Linked DNA regions of Schizosaccharomyces pombe. The protein of the gene in region 2 interacts with the protein of the main gene of each other region in a pairwise test. Each region holds a gene or a part of one and is shown on either strand. Other genes may lie near its edges.

Region 1 (3,802 bases), on a different chromosome or scaffold from region 2:
ATGTTAAGGGTGATAACAGATTCTGTTTTAAACAATTATTGGAGTATTATGATATTTATTTAAAGTTCAAACTTTTAGCAGACTGGCGACTGCTTACAAATCCTGTACTCCAAATTCAAGAAATCTCTGATTACTGCCATTTCAAACTTCTGAAAAAGGTTAATAGGAATTTGCAAATTAAAACTAATTATCCTACCCAGGAGTTTCATTTATTGCGTCCAACAATTAAAATACTACAAATAAGCAAGCATGAATATTTTTTGCATTTTTCTTCTTCCTATATATTTAATGACGCCAGGGAAAGGGATGTATATGGGGTAAAACTATCAAAAAATATGTGGATTTCCTGGGCTTATGTGGATAATTGTGAAGCTAATTTTTTTTGCAAGGATGGCACATATTTTTTTCGAACTACTTCGAGAAAACAAATACTTTTATTGGAGATAGGAATATTAATTAAACCCGAACGCTATAATTTATTTAAATATCGTGTTTATCTTCCCCAATTTTTACCGCCCACCGATTCACGTACACTGGTTGAATTTCAAACCATTGTATACACAAACAGTACATTATTATTCGATGGTTCATTTTATTTTAGTCAAAATGGAGGCTTCGATTTTGAACCTAGACAAAACTACACTTATTTTGATTTCAAAAGCGAATTTATAATCCTTCAAAATAGTTATAGTATATATGGACCCGCGAAAAATATAATAAAGCTACTGCTTGAGCTAATTGAGGTTATCTTGAATGTTAATGTAAGCACAACGGCCATGTGTTTGTTGACTCTTTTGATAGGAATTTATCTAATATTACAAGTTGTTTTTATTTACACGAATTAACACAGTCAATGAAACTATATTTACTATTGCTATATCGATTTTCATCTAAGGTATCGTCCGTCTTGTCAATCATTATATAACTAATTCAAGACACGGCGACAAATGCGCAGTTCGTTCGATATGCCATACTTCATCAAAAGGTATAAACTTATTACAAAACTTTTAAATACTTGAACCAATCGGAGATAGTAAAAATCTAAACAAAAAAAACAAACAGAAAAACTCACATAAATCAATCGTAACCAAGTCGAGGTTGAGAAAACTTCCAGTGAAATTAACTATCATAAGTACCGTATTTGGCCTTTTTGATGGCGTCCGTGATATCCAATTTTTTGATTTGACCATTGGAAAGATCGTAAATCCAGCCATGAACTTGTAAGCCACGCTTTTCCATTGCTTCACGAACAAAGCCAACCCGGGTTACAGAAATTGCTTGAGCACGAGTATTAAGTTCGGCAAGTTTAAGGCGACGAAGTTGGGGATCTTCAATGGCGTCAAGTTCTTCACGATTGTCTTCGATAACATCACGGATGTGTCGCAACCAATGATCCAACAAATTGTTTAAATTAGGACCAAGAGCAGCAGCGACACCACCGCATCCATAATGGCCACAGACAATGATGTGCTTAACCTTTAATACGGTCACGGAGTACTCCATAACAGCTAAAGCATTAATGTCAGAACGAGGAACGACATTGGCAATGTTTCGATGAACGAAGACTTCACCTGGAAGTAAATTCAGAATGGTGGTCTCAGGAACACGAGAATCTGAACATCCGATCCAAAGAACTTGAGGAGTTTGAATATCTTTGGTGGCTGTAAAAAAGGATGGGTACTTTCTGCTAGTTTGTTGTGACCAAGTCAGATTGCGTTCAAGCAAATCTTTGATTTCCCCATTCTGGTCAATTTTACCAGCGCCAGAAACGGGAGAAGCGGTTGAAGCTTCTCTGTCGATTATCTCGTCTTGATGATCGATTTCCTCAATACGACGTTTCAATCTATCAGGCATTTTCTTTTTTTTATCACTTTTCTCTAACAATTGACTAGACGAAAAAAACAATCTTTTTCTTCCAAGCGATGAAAAAGATATGGATTGTAAACAACTATTATAATTACAAGGAAAACGAATGAATCTCGATGTTAACCGCGGAGCCGCTATTATCGAGTAGCTGCTACTTTTTATTTGGTTAAAGGTAGACTGGAGTATGGTTTTTGGAAGCGGAATTTTTGTAGTTGTCAAAGCACCGAATGGTGGGAGCATGATACGTTTTTATACCACACGACAAAAATGGAAACGTTTGTGATGTGAGCAAAGCTATGATGATGAACTTTGATGTATAGCTAATACTCCGATAACAAGCCGTCCCGTCCGTCGAGTAGGTAAGGTTTATTGGTTTATCTATTATATAATGTAATTTATTTTGCTAGATCTTTGCAAGGGACTACCTACGGATAGTTTTGACGGCTTCGCAGTTAACAAAAAACCGGATACGATTGGCTTAAAATTGCAAATTGTCCCAAATATGAATAAAATGTTGACAGCCATAAAGATTTCGCAACCGTGCGAAATTTTTTTTTTCTAAACACAAAATTATTGGAGAAGAATCCGTCATTTATCAATTACGAGTATATCGTCTTATCGTTATACGTGTTTTCGATTAAGTTAATCTAAAATTAAATTAAGCGATAATTAGGTTTTGTAGATTGAAACATTTGTTAACATGGGCACCGCTGACATTACTATAAAAAAAGACGAAAAAAAAACAATTGCCCATTGTTACCCATAATAGGAGGAATGAAATGAAAGTAAAGACAATTGAGAAAATTTATTCAATAGCTTATACAGCTATTTCAAGTCTCGGCCAGTAAGTTAAGCACTTGAAGTTATATTTAAACCGTCAGTTTACCAAACATTAATATGTTTGTTTCAATTCCCATTGATAAACTCAAATACGTGTATGACATTAATTATGCCTCTTTGTGCATACGGTTTTCTTACTATTATAAAAATAATTAGCACGCCCTTAACTAACAACTATTTAGGTTGATTTGAACTTGTAGAAAAAGCTTGTAAATATCGTGCTCGTCAACTAAACGAATATAACAAACCTTAGAAATCATCGCAGCATTCCACTCAAACACATACCCTAACCTAACTCGAAAACCAGTCACAAAAGTTTCGAGTCCCTTAGTGTTGTGAATGCTTAATACTTTCTGCCATCAACACGCACTGCACTCCTCGTCAAAATGAAGTACCTTGCAGCTTATTTACTCTTGACCGTTGGTGGAAAGGACTCCCCTTCCGCTTCTGATATCGAGTCTGTTTTGTCTACTGTCGGTATTGAAGCTGAATCTGAGCGCATTGAAACTTTGATCAACGAGCTTAACGGTAAGGATATCGACGAGCTCATCGCTGCTGGTAACGAGAAGCTTGCTACTGTCCCCACTGGTGGTGCTGCTTCTGCTGCTCCTGCCGCCGCTGCTGGCGGTGCTGCCCCTGCTGCTGAGGAGGCTGCTAAGGAGGAAGCCAAGGAAGAGGAGGAATCTGATGAAGACGTAAGTTAATTTTAGATAAGAAGCATTCTTTGTTTCTCAAAAGCATCTTACTAACAATTTTAGATGGGTTTCGGTCTTTTCGACTAAACCAAATGATCCCTTGTTTTCATTACGCTTTCATAAAAATAAATCGCCGTGTTGGTTTTATTTTACCAATTTTTTTTTAGTGCTCCATTCGTAATAGTATTTTTCGTTTGATAAATGTAATTTTAGCTTACTTTAAATGTTAATGTACCACTGGTGCCCCGTGTTGTTGATTTGAATATAAGAGACTTTACACTTGTAAAGCAAGTCGTTGTTTCGAGAATAATAAATTTTATTTAGTATGTTACTAGGAAGTCTTTACAAGCGGCCCATAATTTTTCTTCAAATGCTTTCAAATTGTTTTGAACATGAAGCAT
Region 2 (3,747 bases):
AGATGATTTAGTTAGCCTTATTACTGCTGCTCATAAAGCGGGTATCTGGGTAATGTTGGATAGTATCGTCAATTCTATGGCACTTGCTCCTCCGCTAGCAGATGCTGACTATTCATCTCTTAATCCTTTTAACAAGGAGAGCTACTTCCATCCGTACTGTCTTATTGATTGGGATATCACAGATAATGAGACGAACGTAATGGATTGTTGGCAAGATTCTGGTGTATTGTTGGCCGATTTGGATGTCGAAAGTTCAGACGTTTCTTCCTATTTGAGTGATCATTTCAAAAGTCTTATTTCTAAATACGATTTTGATGGACTGCGTATTGATGCTGTGAAAATGATGAACTACACATTCTTTCCTGATTTCGTTGATGCTACGGGTGTTTACAGCGTTGGTGAAGTTTTCTCTTATGATCCTGATACTATGTGTAGTTACATGAGTGTCCTTCCTGGAGTTACCAATTACTTTTTGCAGTTGTACATAAACTTCTCTTTTACTGCTACTGGTGCTGGATTCACTCTTATTCCCACTTACCAGGAGGTAATGGCTTCAAACTGTTCAAAATATGATAGTACTTTAATGTTGACTTTTATCGAAAATCACGATTTGTACAGATTTCCTTATTACACAAGTGACCAGTCACAGATTATGGGGGCTTTGTCATTTGTGTTGATTTGGGACGGCATACCCTCAATTTTCTACGGACAAGAACAGGGATTCAATGGTGGTGAGGATCCTGCTAATCGTCCTGCACTTTGGCTTACTGATTACGATCAATCAAACCCGTACTATACCGTTATTAAAACGATGGTTGCATTTAGAAAGTTTGTCATTACTCAGGATCCGGATTGGGTCACTTCCACATATCAATCGATCGAATCTGCTGTTGATCACTATGTTGGACAAAAAAATGATGTTCTCGTCATGTTCAATAATATGGGAGTTACCAACAACCTTACAATTTATGAAGTTGAGACGAATTACACTGCCAATGAAGTAGTCTCTGATGTCTTCGGTCACAGAACTTTAACCGTTGGTGCCGATAAAACCTTGACTGCCAGTATGACCAACGGATATCCCTTGATTATGTATCCACATTCGAAGATGTCTGGTTTTACATTACCAACTGTCAATCGTACAGTCATGCCATCTACATCGGCAACTGCCACAACCACTGTCTATACCTCTTATTACTCTCCTTCTTATTCTGCCAGATCATTTACTGGTACTGGTAGTATATTTACGATCTCTTCATCATCTAGACTTATCCTTTCTTTCAAGACTTTAGTTTTTGGCTTGGGTGTTACCGCAATGCTCTTTGTTTTATTCTTCTAGAATGCCCAAATAACCGCGTTAATTTTTAAAATTTTAACAATTTGCGTTTTTTTCGTCAAGGAAGGTCATTTTTTGGGTTGAATCTAATAACCATATAATGAGAATGAGTTAATTTATGCCTACAGCTTATTCTTGTTCTGATGCTTTAATCTCTCACTTGTTATTATTTGTCTTTGTAAACCTTTTTTTATCATACATATCTTTTAAACTGGCATATCTATTGTCTTGGAGCAGAAATGAAAAAAATTATCTGCCTAGTGGAATAGTCAATGAAAAGTAATATTGCATTTTTTAACAACCAAATGAAAAAGTACAGTTCTTATGCGTAGTTTCGCTTTACATCAAAAACATTTGCTTACATTGGTAAGTAAAAATAAAAAAATTTATCGAGTAGACATGTTGTTAGTATATTAAGGTGTAGGTCATCCAATATCACCATAAGCTCATAAAATTTGTACTTAAACTTATATTCTTTTCTAACGCTTTCATTTAAATTTAATAGTTTTTTGATGGAAAAGTCACATAATTGCAGGTGTTACTTAACATTGGTTTACGTTACAATCATTGAACATTTCTAAAATTCCCCATTCCACGGACCCGTATTCATATTCCATTTGTAATTAAAGAAAGTTTTGTTCTTGGATAAAGGTAACCAGTAGTTACTAAAAAGTTCGAACTTTTGGGACCTTCAGATGTCTTTAACCTAAACGACCGCGTAATTTGCTATTGTTTACATGTTGTGTTTCAACTGCTAAATTAACAGGAGAAGGAGAATAATTGTAAGCTAGCAGATACTGTGTGGAGCGATCTTTGTCGAACAGGCAGTATTCGTTTTGTCTGGAGACCTTACCTGAGATTCTGATACTAAACGTTGTAATCATCTTAGAGTAACTGGATCACTCGTTTAATTCTTTAAAAGTGAACTGAAAAATATTTTTACCATTTAACTCATTGCACGTTTGAGGATGCAAGATTCTTCCAAAAATAAACAACCATGCGTCTCATGGAAAGTTTCTCCTTTAAAAGCGAAAGCCATGTCTCCTGATGATGTCTCAAGGCTTTTTTGTAAATCCAGTACTAGTAGCGCTACTCGGAAGCATGATCCTTTTCATAAGCTATGGGATCGCTTACAACCAAAAGCACAATCCACTATTCAACGGACATCTTCATTGCCTGTTCCTTCGTCAAGTAATTTTAAAGAGAGATTAAATAATATAGGAGGACTTAAGAGGTCAAGGACATTGGAAAGCTCCTATGAAGATGAAACAGAGACTGCAAATAAGCTGTCACGGGTTTCTAGTTTGGTGAGCGTGATACGACAAACTATAGATCGCAAAAAATCACTAGAAAGAAGGGTAAGGGAAGAACAAGAAGAGAAGACAGATAATGAGGATGATAATGATGTCGAAATATCTACTCAGGAATCCCTGGAAAACAATGGTTTAGCGGAAAAGAAGGATGATACTTCATCACTTGCTACGTTGGAAGATGACATTGAGGGCCAAGAATTTTCGTTTGATGACCAAGATTTACAAATGCTTCAGGACATAGAAGACCAATGGCTCAGTTCTCAAAAACAGCAAGGTTCTCCTCTAACATCAGATCATATAAGCAAATAGAAAACGCTATTCGTAGTTTGACGGTTGGGCTAATGATTGTTGTATTTCCGCAAAGTATACCATGTAAATTTTTAAGCTTGTTATTTTGGGAAAAGAGTTTCGCAAGCACAATGTGAATACTACTGTATATGTACTGCCGCGATTAAGAACTGCAATGCACGAATTGCTTGCTTTACAACTTTATTACGTCTCCAAGGCGAGTGTATGTTTCTAAAATTTTTTTATGTTTGATATATACAAAATAATAATAATTATGATATTCGTCGTAAACTTCTCTCAGAAGCTAATTAAAGAATTAAATACATCAAGGTGAAGAGCGTCGAGATACCTTCCAAAAGTTTAGATATCTATTTTCGAGTTTTTGTCTAGCTGCTTCTAACTCAAGCATGTTGTAAAATTGCGAAACGATATGCCAATTTTTTGATTCTCGTTTGTAAATAGAATCGAGATCACTTAAAACCATTTGTATGCATTTATGAATCTCATCAGCATACCCAACATCCTCCTCTGAAATGTATGCCTTCATAAATTCATCTTCAAGTTTAGCATGGCGTAGCATACAGCTCATGCTTTGGATGAGACGATGTTTATTCTCTTTCATAGTTATCCTTTTTTTTAACATTCCACTTATTCTCTGACTTTGAGGCCAGAATTTGGGGCGTAAAAACGTATCTCCTCCAGTAGTACTTACTAAATGATATAGCACTTCACCATTGCGCACATAATTAAATATTGAATTGGACTTTAGCTTTTTTGTTTTCGTATGCGGTTTTGTTATCCCAACATCTC

What was found.
Region 1: the proteins of dbl1 (region 2) and nce103 interact in a two-hybrid assay, tested with the Schizosaccharomyces pombe proteins (one large-scale study listed by BioGRID).

The regions. Positions count from the first base shown.
Region 1 is NC_003423.3:3,640,097-3,643,898, forward strand, and holds nce103 (putative carbonic anhydrase), read right to left. Parts: upstream 2,089-3,802; 5' UTR 1,855-2,088; coding exon 1,120-1,854; 3' UTR 846-1,119; downstream 1-845. Other genes in the region: protein mug45, read left to right, coding at 1-845; rpp201 (ribosomal protein P2), read left to right, coding at 3,093-3,401, 3,465-3,488; histone lysine methyltransferase Set6, read right to left, coding at 3,722-3,802.
Region 2 is NC_003421.2:831,558-835,304, reverse strand, and holds dbl1 (protein Dbl1), read left to right. Parts: upstream 1-1,925; 5' UTR 1,926-2,304; coding exon 2,305-2,958; 3' UTR 2,959-3,239; downstream 3,240-3,747. Other genes in the region: aah3 (GPI-anchored glycosyl hydrolase family 13 protein), read left to right, coding at 1-1,339; mitochondrial LYR family protein Lyr2, read right to left, coding at 3,263-3,747.